Linked DNA regions of Cricetulus griseus. The protein of the gene in region 3 interacts with the protein of the main gene of each other region in a biochemical or structural test. Links are inferred from orthologs where the notes say so. Each region holds a gene or a part of one and is shown on either strand. Other genes may lie near its edges.

Region 1 (4,523 bases), on a different chromosome or scaffold from region 3:
CACTTTTGCCATTATCCATAAATTACTTGGGATAGCAGCTAACATACAGCAGGTCTATTGATGATCTATGAAAGCTTGCAGAGTCTAGAATTCTGAAGATATGGGGTCAATAATAATATTTCTAAAATTTCCAAGCAAGTTCATTTTTTTTTTTTTGGATAAGGTAGTGTATACATACTAACTTTTTATTTCCATGTCTAGCACAGTAACTAGATCATTTCCTAAGAAAGACAAGTGTTCTTCACACAAAAGCTGTGAAATCCTTAGCACATTTATTAAATCCTATGGTCCCTTCCTATGGGTGTCAGAGGAATGGCCAAAACACTAAAGCAGAATCCTTGAGCTTTATCTGCAATGCAGCTAAATAACTTTGGTCTGAACTTGTAATTTATAGTGAACACTTAAGCCCCACCTGTTTCTAAATAGAAGGGATGTGTATTTTAATGTGTATTTTAATTTTACCTCATTTACACTATAAATACAAGTAAACAATGGTGAGCTTAATAGTTACAATGCAAGTAACATTAGCAAAGGTGAGTCTGACAACTTGTGTGTGTGGGTATTTTATTTTTGGTGATGTTGTTAATCTCATCTTTGATTCCTTGGCACTTAAAACTTGCACATAGCTATTTTAAAAGGACCTGGGAACTAATGCTTGAAACTGCAGACTTAGGTAGACTCGTTCATTTCTGTAAAAGTTCAATGTATTTGGCCTGAGCACAGCAAAATCTTACACATGAAATGTCAGTCCTTTTAACTTGGAGTTTGGCAGACAGCGAGATGCACATCCAATGGCCGAGCAACATTTCACCATGATTTTATCAACTCATAACAAAACTGTAAGAGAATTAAAATGGGTTAGTAACTTTAGGGCTAGCCAAAGGCAATTCCCCAGACCCCAACCTCTGAAGTTCTGCTGCTAAAATTTTCTAAGGTCTCGGTAACTTTTTAAGAGTGGATATTTAGTTACGCACCTTGAGGTCTGAGATTTCAACTTTTTAGGCTTGGTTATTTCTCTTGTGTCCTTACCAGGGATCAGATTTTTCTCTGCCACAGGTCTGGGCACCCTAATAACTTCCAGCTGGAGCGTCCCCCTTTCCCCAGGGACACTCCACACACAATTATCCTTAAAGTGTCCCTCCAAATTGTGATCTCATTGAATGCTGTGTTTTTTTTTTTTTCTCACTACCCATCTGTGAGTTCCACTAGGGCATGTTACGGCGTGCCTACTTTTCCACTTTTTCTCCTCAGGTCTCAGCTGGTGACCAGCATCGGGAGATAGCAAAGGAACGAGGACAGCCGCCAGCTCGAGGTGCTGCGCGCGCCGCCACCGAGCTCCGCCCCGCGAGCCGGGACGAGGGTGGGGCCTGGCCTCGCCGGCGCCGGGTGGCCGAGGGCGGCCTGCAGCAGGACCCACCCGGCGTCGCAGCGGTCCCCTTCGCCCTGAGATCGGGGCTGGCCGCGATGCGAGGGGGAAGAAGAGCCAACCTCAGAGTTATTACCGTCAGCAGCGAAGACACCGACTAACGTCGACGACGGAGTTAGCGTCTCACTTCGCTTCCTCCCCTTCCATCAGGAACCGGAAATCTGGCTGCCCCGGGTCACGTGAGCAGCTGCCATATTGACTGGTGGCAGCCGCGGCGAGGAGGCGGGGTGTCAGACCGGCTGTGCGTCTCTGAGGCGTGGCTTCCAAGCTGGGGGAAGGTTCTGTGGATTGTGAGGGGAGGTGGAGGAGATGGCGGCGACGGAAGATGGCGTCCGCAGCCCGGAGCGAGGGCGGCGGGGCTGCGAGCACTATGACCGAGGCTGTCTCCTCAAGGTGACGACTTGAAAGGGCACTTCCTGAGAAGATGCCGCCGGGGTTAGGCCGGGGCAGGTTAGGCCTAGGCGGTTAGTCTTGGGCACAAGTTTCAGACGGAGCTGCTTGTTAAGATACCTTCTGCACCTGGAATTGGGTTGCCCCTTGCAGGGAACGTATTTGGCAAGGCGAGCATGAGCTCTACCTTAGCTCTCAGCTTTTGTACCTTGCAAAGTTCTTGTTGTTTGTAAAGAGCGGGGCCTTGCACAGCGTCCCTTACCCAGTGGGTTTATTCGTCATTTGCGGTTGACAGTAGAAAGAGGCAAGTGTCAGGCCTGTCCAGGACCACTGTCGGATGTGTATGATGGTAACGAAAGGAGGATAAGCCAAGGGAAAATCAGAATGTGATTTTTGCTCGTGTAGTAAGTAGCTGGTGTAGCCGGTCAGCTTCATTTTGTTGTCACGGAGAATATAGAGAAGTGTGGTGTGAGAGACAGTGTAATTGCCATTAGATTGGATTTTGGAGACGTGCCTAGTACGTAAATGTTATTTTTGCTGCTTGAGAAACGTTCTAGTCCTCTAGAGTTTTAATAAAGGTGGGCCCCACACAATTAAGAGTTTCTTGATTTTTTTTTTTTTTTGGAAGTAATGTGATTATTTTGTTGAGAAAGCCTGATACTTGAGCTGGGGGTGTAACTAAGCTGTAGAACTTATGCTTAAAACGCTGGAGGCCCTGGCGCCAGCCATCTGAAGTCTCCTCCCACAGAAAAGAAACGTGACTGTTGGAATCCTGTAACTTTTTCCCTGTATCTTAGTTCTGCTCGCAATTTGCTCTGCAATTTTGAGCAAGCTGCTTTTTAAATGGCTTGCATATAAAATGGTAATTTTAGAAGTTCCGTTTTTCTTTTTCTTTTCTTCCTTCCTTCCTTTTTTTTTTTTTTTTTTTTTTTTTTGGTTTTTCGAGACAGGGTTTCTCTGTGTAGCTTTGGAGCCTATCCTGGCGCTCGCTCTGTAGACCAGGCTGGCCTCGAACTCACAGAGATATGCCTGCCTCTGCCTCCCGAGTGCTGGGATTAAAGGCGTGCGCCTCCAACGCCCGGCAGAAGTTTTTTTTCATGACTGGTCTTAGTGGTAAAGGACTGTAGTTCTATCAAACATGTACTTCCAGCTATTTGTGAAGCTGAGGCAGAAGGAATGCCAGCCTGGAGGTGCCATTGCCAAGAAGGAAAAGAAATGGGGATCTGTCAGTCATTGCTAGAGTACTGACCTCACCTGAGAGTCTGTAGGTACTTTCTCCACCGCCAAAGGGGAAAGCCCCTCTTTTATTAGCAATATGATGACTGCATTCTAGAGTGCACATGTACTATTTATGAGGTGCATCCCCAGAAATGGGTAGTAAATATTAATTACCACTATCAGTCATCATCATCATCTTTTTTTTTTCTTTTTTCTTTTTTTCATTTCACTTTACCAGTCAGCCCTGATGGTCACTGACCTCGAAAGCTAGTATTAAATGATAGGCTTTGGTCTGTAAGACAACTCAAACCCTTTTTGTAGGCCACAGTTTGGCAGATGTTGTTTCATTGCATTGGATGAAATTCTTTCAGACTTGTCAGTTATCAAATGTGTAAGCAGTTGAGTACTATTCTTCTGATTACATTTTCTACTGAAATACCTTCACAGCTTCAGAGTGAGATATGGAACTGAACATCTTGTTCTTCCCTGGCCCCTGCAAAGAAATTGCATAGCCAAATTTGTGTTTTATAACACTTTAGCTGCTTTTCCCTGAGTGTCAAGCATTGCTCTTCTTTCCCCTCTCCCTCTTCCTTAAATATGAGAGGCCAACTCAGGTGTTTGAAGGAACAAGTCATCTACTTGATCAAGTGCAACTGTTCAAGTAAGATAAGGAGTGACATTTGACCTTTGACTTGGCAGGGGAAGGTCACTGTTCATCTTGACAAGAGAAGTGTCAATGAAAGGATCCAGGGCAAAGCTTATTGGAATGGATATTAGAAATAACAGAATTTTTGGATTTTTATTGCAAAGGAGAGCAAAACTGTGTCTGTTTTGCTGAAAGATGTGTTACAGTATGTTTCTGCACACTGGGAAAATGATCAAAGAGGCCTTTTTGAATGCAACAGGAAAAGGGAACACTCTAGGACTACTGTTCTTGAGTAGTCAAAGTGAAGCCAGCCTTAGCTCAAGTCTGGTCTAACTGTAGAGTCTTTGTAAAAGGAGACAAGGCAGTAGTGTGTTCCTTTATTGCTGTAATAACCACCACAACCAGAAACTACTTGGGGAGCACAGGGTTTATTGCTTACACTTGTAACAATTCATTAGGGAAGCCAAGACAGGTTCTCAGGCAGGACAGGAACCTGGAAGTAGGAACTGAAGCTGTGGAATGCTGCATACTACTGGCTTGCACTTCATGGCTAGCTCAGCCTCCTTTCTTATATAATACAGGATCACCTCCCCAGGGATGCCACTGTTAAAAATGGTCTGGGCCTTCATACATCAGTCATGAATCCAGAAAATGCCCCACAGATGTTCGAACTGGCTAGTATGAGGGAGGCAAATCTTCAGTTGAGGTTCACTCTTCCCAAGTGATTCTAGTTTTTGTCTAATTTTATCTAGAAGATAAAGCATATTTATTCTCAAGAAGGCTGATAGATCTTATGAGTGAATGTTTTCTTTTGATTACTCCTATTTTAATAGTGAGATTAGT
Region 2 (4,701 bases), on a different chromosome or scaffold from region 3:
GAACAACCATTACAAGCTGCCACCACTGAGGATTACCACATCTATTTTTAAAATGACAAAGACGAGCCTAGAGAAAGGTGCTGTGTCTTGTCCAAGGTCAAAGCTACTCAGAAGAGGACCTAAGGCTGGAACCCCTTGGCATTCTACTTCCAGACATAGCATAAGCCTGAAGCTTTGACTTATTTCACTAATGACAGCTTTCTGTGCTGAGAGGAGTCCCCAAAGCATCTTGAAAACACAAGTAATAAAACTATATCAATTTCCAGACATCTGGTCAATCAAGCACTGAAAGTCCTACCGGTGGAATCTTACCACACAAGAGCAAAAGCTGCTCAGACCTGACTCAAAGGCTCCAAAGTGGAAACGGCTTCTCTTCTTGCAGCCGTGAACAAGAGAGAAAAGGATGCCCCAGAAAATTCCATGGCCTGTTCCAGGAGACAGAACCACTGATGCAAATGAGAACTCACCTCAAGTGAACAGCACAGGAAGAACTAATTACTCTATTTGTACAAAAGAACGAATCCCTCAATCTGCCCGGTACAGCCACCCCAGCAAAAGGCATCTGGGAATTCATGGTGGCAGTTTGAGGTGAACTGCAGGATGCCCTGGGCATTCAATAGGCTCAAAGTCTTGTAAAAGGACAGGATGATCCTATATACTAAAATAAATAAAAACAAATACTAAAAATAAGTAAATAAATGTGTTACCTATAATGTTAATAAGGGCCGGACACACACACTGAAAGGATTAATATCTCCAACTTTTCTTGTCTTCCCATTGTTCAGTGGTGTTCCTAATCTCAGGCCTGAATGGGGGGGGTGGGGGAGACTCTAAGGCTTCATGGCTGAAGTGTGAGATTTCAGAATTCAGTTATAAGTTCATAATTTTATCAGGGGATCTGGCAGTGGAACAAGGATAAGAGAAGTTTCTAGTAAGAGACAGACTTCAGGAATCTTACCCAAAAGGTAACTCCTTTTCTCACTCCTCCATACAAGCCTTTATAAAATGAGCTGTTGGCTACACTAAAAATTCTGTGATTTTAGAGAACGGATTTACACTGTTTTCAGTTTTAATGACAGTTTATTTACAAACGTAATCACAGAAGTCTCACAAACACAGTTGACTCCTTCTGGATTCAACTATCTAGAAGGATTATTAATTCCAAGATGCCTAACGCAGAACAAATGCCTAAAGGGTACCGCAGGCAGACATGCCTTGTATCTGATTTCCAACAGTTTAATTAAAGTCAGAGCGGCTCTAAACTATTCACTATCCTATGGAATTGATCGAAAGAAAGAAAAAAAAAGAGACCCAAAAATCCTACTCGGTTTTGAAATAGCTACAAAAGTAATCCCACAGGTAAACCTTCCATAATGTACCCTAAGGATATGAGAAAGCTTTCTCCTACACAGTGACTAAAATTTCCCAACTCACCCAAAGGAATTTGAATATGTAACTTCTTCACTTCAACTGCTAATTAACAAAGAGTAGTCCCACACCCCTTTTGACCAATTTTCCAGAAGCCTGTCCTGCCTTCTCAGGACAGCCAAGCAGACAGACCTGTTTTCCTCTAGAAGAGCCTGCCAGGCCTTTTTTGCCCTACCAGCCGAGCCTGGGAAATCCCCCTCCAGCCTTTTCCTGGCCTGTCACCAGAAGTGCACAGAATGAATTCATCCAGATTTTTTCAACCTTCCTCTTCCCCAGTCATGTGCCAACTGCTGGGCAATAATACCCCACCTTGCCGGTGCTCTGTTTTAGAAAAAAAAAAAAAAAAAGATGCAGATTCACCGGGAAAGCAAGCACTTAGCATGGAGTAGGAGAAAAAAGATGGAGGGATGTGAGAGTCAATGAGCCAAGTCTACTGAATGCAGCATGAGAGACCAGACTCCTGGTCCTGCAAATCCAAGGAGGGAGGCTTTCCATACAGCAGACCACACCTGTCTAAGGCAGCCTCCTGCTCCATTTTAATCAATTTATACCCAGCTGGGTGGAAAAACCAGCCTCCTCCCTTTCCTAGCAAGGGTAGGAACCCTAGTCCAAGAACCACCTGCCCCCTAGTTTTATTTCTCACTCTTTGTTTAGGAGACACTAGCTCCCTAACCAGACAGGTAGGCACCATGCTACAGAGGCAGAAATGAAGAGTCCAAACTGTAAGCCAGACAAGAAGACCTCTTTTCTGAGGATCATGATGCTAATAAACGGACTTCAATGGGCAGGTTTCACTCTGCCATCCACAAGTGAACACATGTCTGCAGTCCTAAAACGCCCGGCTCCGCAGCCTGGTAGACAGCTTTTTCCCTAGCCAGTAGTTATCCCACTTGATCCTATTCATCCTCTGGCACAGAAGGAATCACAAGGGAAAGGCAGGAGTTAGCTTCATACCCATAGCTTAGCACACTAAGAGGTTTGGGGCGCCCCGGCGCGTCCTCCCTTGCACTCCACCCTTCAAGGCCTCAGACGCCCGCGGACTCACCACTGTGCGAGCTGAACCACCTGGGTGCGATGTGCAGAGGTAGAGCATCCGCCAGCGAGGCTCGGGAGCCCAGGTACAGCATCCCGTCTCTATGGTGACCGCCGCCTGTCTCCTGGTAACCATTGCCGTGAGCATAGGTGGAGTCCGACGTGGACTCTCCGCCGCCCGGCGCCCTCTCTGAGTCGCCGGTCCCGCGGGAGGCGGTGGTGTAGAGGCCAAAGGGCACCCCTCCGGCCGTGCTGGGGTCCATGCCCATGCCCGCCACCGAGCTGACCGAGCGGCTGCGCAGCCCCATAGCCCCGCCGCCTGTCCGGTAGTGCCCAAAGTGGGGCGCTCCTCCCGGCGGGGGCACGGCGCTGTCATCGGTAGAGACCCCCGGGAAGGGGCCCCGAGAGCGGGCCGCCGTGCTCTGCTTGCCCCCCATGCTAGCCCGGGCCCCGGTGGGGCGGGAACCTGGAGGCCGAAACCCTCCCCCACTACTCAGAAGCCGGTGGAGGGCTGGGCAAACATAAAGGGGGGGAGGTTAAAAAAGAGCCCCGAGGGGAGAAAATGAAAAAGAGAGAGAGAAAAAAACCCTCAGAAAATCCGCGAGGCGGAAAAAACAAGCGAGCGGGGACCCCAAACTAAGAATTTCAAACAGTCCAAGCCGAATGCATGTTCTCCTTAAGGTCCGAAGACGCGCGGTCCGGAGCGGGCGCCGCGCGCCACAGGCCGCCCCCGGGCTCGAGAGCCTGAGGAGCCGCAGCGAAGGGAGGGAGGCGCCGGAGGAGGCCGCCCGCCCGCCCGCCCGCAGCAGGAAGCGGCGGAGGCTCGGGGCGCCGCGCGCGTCCCCGGTCTCAGGACTCGACGACCGGGGCCGACGGCCCGGACTTCTCCAGGCCTCGGGAGGGCTCGCGGCGGTGGGGAAGCCAGGCGGAGCTCTGGAAGCCGCGGTCGCGTGGCGTCGCGCTCCGGCTCCAGCCGCCGCCGGCCCCGCCAGCCAGCCGCACCGCCCCGTTCAGTCCCGGGCTGCGCTCGCCGGCGCTCCTCGCCGCCGTGGAGACAATGGAGGGCGGCAGAGCGCACGCGCGGCCCGCGCCCCCCCCCCCCCGCCGGGTTAACCCTTTCGCCGCCCCTGCGGCGCGGCGGAGCGCTGCGGCCCTGGAGGTCCCCACCCACCCGCCGCCTGCGCCCCTGGCGGTCCGGGGACCAGCGAGCTCCAGCCGCCGGGTGTCTGCGACAGAGGCCAGACTTCTTCCGGAACAAGCACGGCTAGAGTCGAATCACTATATTCAAGAAGAGTCCTTGCGTGGGGGAGGGGCGGCGACGGTTCTAGTGGGTGGGAAGGAAACTAGAAAGAAAGAAAACCAACTAATCCGTCTACCTGGGTTTGAGGGTCATTGGGCGAGCTCCCCTCCCGCCACAAACCTGCCCTCACAGCACCCTCTGGTGGATGGTGCTGTGGTTTGCTGGTTCCCATCCAAGGACCCCAACCAACGTCAGGAAGTTTAACATTTTGGGGGGAGTTAGCTTGGACCCAAACATCAGGAGTCTTAACATTTGGGGTTAGCTATTAGGAGGCACATAGGAATCCAGGTTTTGCTGACAGATCGAAACCAACTATTTGGGTCTAAGGAAACAAGTCGATTCTTTAGGCTAGAATGTAATCCCGAAAAATCAATAGGTGGATAAAAAGCATGGAAATAGAACAATGCAGCTAAAAAGTGGTTTTAGAAACTCCTTGTCCAAGGCCGATTCCTGTTGTGTTTACCATGTATTTTGACATAGAGCCACAAGGCAAGGACACCGTGAGTACTCAATAAATATTTGTTGACCAAATTTCACTTTGCAACAGAGAATCACCTTTCCAGTTCAGTCCCAGTCTTTCTCATATATTCATGATCGCTTATTCATTGAACAAATAATTTTTCAAGTGCTGAGGGCTGGATGTGAGCATCACCTAGTCCCTAGACTTACTTCCTCTGTCACTTTGTCAGAGTATGCCAGGTGCTTCCAAAAATGGAGTGTGGAGGAAGGTGGACTTGGAGAGAGATAGGCTAATAGACCTTCTTTTCCAGTGTGGCTAGCCTGGAAGGCCACAAGAAGATGGCTATTTTCAGGCATAGAGTATTTGGGGTGAACAAAAAGCCCTGAACAAAGACGTTGAGAGTTTAATAAGAGAAACTAGTACAAGAAATATTGGGGCTGTGGAGCATGCCTTTTTAATCCCAGCACTCAGGAGGCAGAGG
Region 3 (3,962 bases):
TTTTTCTAAAGCACGGCTGGCAAATACCTGCTGGGTCACAGCGATATTTTCCTGTGCTGATACATCCCCATTACAGAGCAATGTCACACTCTCTGTGCAAACAGATGTGTTGGTCTTATTAATTTTTTTTTAATACAGCATCAACTGTTTTTAAAGGAAGTGGAGTCTTCCTCACAAATCCACAGCTTTCATAGGTTTGAAGTAAGTCTGACCGGGGAATGGAGTTGCTACACTGGGCCAACATCAGCTTGCAATGGGTCTCGTTGTGACTCTTGACTGCAGAAGTGAAGGAGTCCCGTTGTGGGTGGTCTTTGTCACCTTTTGAGTTTTCTGAGCTGCCTTAAACTGGCCCCTCTTTGTTGTCTGTATTTCTTCCTACACCTGAGGAGCATCGATGGTTTGAAACAGGCTTTTCTTTCTATGGACGAAATGCTAATTGTGAACGAGTAGGCAGATACTCTATCTACTCCAGTCTCCTTTCTGGATGAGAACACGCTAGCCTTCCTGAATGCCATACATACTTCCCCTGGGGCCGTTTATCTACTGAGTCATGCAGTTTTCAATCATTTGCCCTCGGATCCAAGCTGAAAAAAAAAAAAAAAATGCTGAATTTCAAAGAAAAGTCTCTGAGGAATTATCCTAAATGACTAAATTATTCTATTAAGTTGTTATGTGAGAGGGGAAAATGCAATATATTTACTTAACAGCTTTCCCTAAGAAGCTAGTTCCTTCTGCTTGGTGTTCATTATCTGCTTATCTGCTCTGAACCTTCCAAGTCCTGTCATCTAAAGGCATGCCTCACCGTTGGAGCTGGGGCCTCCATGGTAATTCTCAGGTGAATCATGTGTAGTAAGCAATTGTGACGTTGTTTTGCACACCTCTCTTATTTCTGGACCACAAACACATTCCACCACCCTCTATAATAGCACTTGCTGTCCGCGTTGCCCACGCTTATCTTTATAATTTGTTTCTATTTTTTTTACATTTACTACCATGCTTATCTTTGTTGTTTGTTTACTTTTTAAAACATTTACCAAACTAGAATTAAGCAACACAGTAAGAATAATTATTTAATACAGTGCTCTGATTTTTATGCAGAACTTTAAGCAGGGAAAGAATGACAAGAGTTGCTTTTATTACCCATGGTGCAGCCCAGTAAATATGAAGGAATTAAAATGGAATTTGGGGTATTTTATTTTGCTACTATTTTCTTTCCTTTAATCGTGTGTGTGTGTGTGTGTGTGTGTGTGTGTGTGTGTGTGTGTGGCCACTCAGGAGGTGACCAAACTTGAATTCCTTTGGTAAAGTTGATAATACTTAATCCAATCTACCATGAATCCTGAATTCATCCAACTTGGTTTTAGAGTTTTACATTGTACAATATAAAGTACTAGCAATTGAATATTGAGAATAAATTGTGTGTAACCTTCTTACTAAATTATTCCCTTTGGCCATATTTAAGTGGACATTGGAAATCTAAAAGAAACAAGGTAAATATTAGTCATAACCTTTAAAAAATACTGGTGACTGCTCTAGAAAGTTACCTTTCCTCACAGCAGTCCTTGTGTCTACACTGGTCCCCGTAAATGACCTGTTTGGTTAAAACCATACTGTTATATGCATGTCTGCTTCTCTTTAAACTCTGTGGGCACCTCGGAAAACTTCATTCCTGGAAAGGAGCCTGCTCTCAGGTAAATTACTCAAACATCTGGTGCAAGGATTACATTTTTTACAAGCATCAGACAGCATCGTATAGAAGATGTGACCCTCTCTTTCACACTGTCAACACCTGGGGGGGAACATTCAGTCTTGTGTACATGTTGTGGCCGGACACTGATGCGCCTGTTGTTCATTGCAGCCTGACAGTGCGTATCAAGGCGGAGTCTTCTTCCTCACTGTCCACTTCCCGACAGACTATCCCTTTAAACCACCAAAGGTATTTATTTCTGTGGCTGATGCATCCCATAGCAGGGGTTCTCACTGTTTGTCTAGAGACAGGCTCATGATATCACAGGTTAGCTAGTACAAGGTCCTTTGTACAACTTCCAGATCTAAAATACTCTTGTTTTTTGTTTGTTTGTTTGTTTGTTTTCCGAGACAGAGCTCCTCTGTGTAGCTTTGGAATTTGGAGCCTATTCTGGAGTTCGATCTGTAGGCCAGGCTGGCCTTGAACTCACAGAGCTCCTCCTGCCTCTGCCTCCTGAGTGCTGGGATTAAAGGAATGCACCACCACTGCCTGGCTAAAATACTCTTTCTTAGTCAAGTAGTTTCCTTTGCCTGTTAAACAAAAGGTTGCAGTGGCTACAAGTTAGGCTCATGGGCTTTTCCTCCTTATGAGATATGTGTAGTCTGGAATGTTTTTATAGTCTGAGAATCTATAGTCTGTGGACAGACTTTCCTGTCCACAGTGTTATCCTTCCAAAGAGGACCCTGTTTTCTCTCTTGAAGTGTTCAGTGAACATACATTGACCATCCACTACGTCCCTGCATGATGGGAACCACAAATGAAGCACACTGAATGGCAGCAGGGAATGAAAAGACATTCTCCAAGGTTTAAAGGCCAAAGAAGAAACAAGTGATGGGGGGGGGGTGTGAAGGAGGGAAAACAAACATATATTTGCTGCTATGGAAATAATTGTAGCATTTTTAAAACACTGAGTTTAAAATCCTATGGATGACATCACACAACAGTGACTCTTGTCGGAATTCAGATGCTCAGTGGGTTTTACAGGACGGGTGATCATCTCACTTCTGCTCTGACGGACTCGGTGACCTGTTTATAGATCCAGGTGGCCTGCTGGGTGTTACTCACAGGCTGGTTAAGAAGAGTATTTGGAGGTGTAATGAAAGCCAGAGCAGCTGGTCCAAGTGCCAGTCACCCCAGTGATTGCAGACATCCTCATTACACCCAAGATACGTCCCAGCACCTGGAGGAGAAAAGGAGGTTAAACTGAGTCTCCTTCAAATTCCCAATAGCGGACCTGCATGTAGATGTTTCTGTTCCAAAGCTGTGTAAAGTTGAGCACATTTCTCCCTTGAGTGGATTGGTTCTGCTTGTTCATCGCTTGTGACGATCAACCTTTTTGTTGTTGTTGTTCTGTTTTATGTGTAGATTGCTTTCACGACAAAAATCTACCACCCAAATATAAACAGTAATGGAAGTATTTGTCTTGACATCCTGCGGTCCCAGTGGTCACCAGCTTTGACTGTATCGAAAGGTAATTTCATTTATCAGATTTAAAATAGGCATGGAGAGGACTGTACAATGTCTAGGGACCAGAGTTTAAACAAAAACCGAAGTCCAGACAAACAAAACAGATGCCTCAACCCTCAGTGCTTACTATTTTTGTTTTGTTTTCTCTAGTAACTCTTCGGTCATTCTGGCTTTTAGTAAACTCTGGGATTGGGAGAAATGAGTGAATGGCCAAATCTAAACAAAAAGGGAGTTCAAGGACATCCAGAACTATTACACAGAGAAACTCTGACTCAGAAATAAAAAAAAAAAATTTTTTTTCAGCAGTGAATTTACCATAAAGTGAATAAAGGAAAGATTCTGTCTATAATTATTCAGATTACTATAGTTCTTCTTGGAATGGTGTCCCAAAATGGCTCTCATTTGCCACAAGCTGCTAAGTCCTTCTCACTTAAAGAAATGGCTGGCTGCCACGTACTCAATGACTATCAGTGGTGCTGTGGCTTTTGACTAAAAAATAATTCGTATTGCTAGCCTAGGAGCATAAACTGCTCCGGTCTCATCACATTCCAGGATCGTGACAGAATTACCAAACTCGGCCGCTGGGCACCTGGTGCATACCGAGCCCTGGGGTGGACACCTCTATCCCCTTCCTCCTCTTCATGGGCCATTTGTGATAGTGAAATGGGGGCAGATGGTTCCTGGCAGCCGGACTGGGGAGATAGTTGGGGAACTTCACTCTTGTCCATGTCAGGAGATAGCTCAGACC

The links.
Region 1: the proteins of Ube2d1 (region 3) and Rchy1 form a complex in vitro, tested with the Homo sapiens proteins (2 studies listed by BioGRID). The link is inferred for Cricetulus griseus from reciprocal best matches to the Homo sapiens genes UBE2D1 and RCHY1.
Region 2: the proteins of Ube2d1 (region 3) and E3 ubiquitin-protein ligase ZNRF1 form a complex in vitro, tested with the Homo sapiens proteins (2 studies listed by BioGRID). The link is inferred for Cricetulus griseus from reciprocal best matches to the Homo sapiens genes UBE2D1 and ZNRF1.

Annotation. Positions count from the first base shown.
Region 1 is NW_023276807.1:156,684,853-156,689,375, reverse strand, and holds the start of Rchy1 (RING finger and CHY zinc finger domain-containing protein 1), read left to right. Parts: upstream 1-1,382; 5' UTR 1,383-1,735; coding exon 1,736-1,819; intron 1,820-4,523. Other genes in the region: Thap6 (THAP domain-containing protein 6), read right to left, coding at 735-814. UniProt on the Homo sapiens protein: E3 ubiquitin-protein ligase that mediates ubiquitination of target proteins, including p53/TP53, TP73, HDAC1 and CDKN1B. Mediates ubiquitination and degradation of p53/TP53; preferentially acts on tetrameric p53/TP53.
Region 2 is NC_048596.1:187,949,814-187,954,514, reverse strand, and holds the start of E3 ubiquitin-protein ligase ZNRF1, read right to left. Parts: upstream 3,142-4,701; 5' UTR 2,960-3,141; coding exon of another isoform or gene 2,898-2,959; coding exon 2,474-2,897; intron 1-2,473. Other genes in the region: serine/arginine repetitive matrix protein 1-like, read left to right, coding at 2,896-2,959, 3,142-3,728. UniProt on the Homo sapiens protein: E3 ubiquitin-protein ligase that plays a role in different processes including cell differentiation, receptor recycling or regulation of inflammation. Mediates the ubiquitination of AKT1 and GLUL, thereby playing a role in neuron cells differentiation.
Region 3 is NW_023276806.1:266,581,679-266,585,640, forward strand, and holds part of Ube2d1 (ubiquitin-conjugating enzyme E2 D1), read left to right. Parts: intron 1-1,858; coding exon 1,859-1,936; intron 1,937-3,112; coding exon 3,113-3,218; intron 3,219-3,962.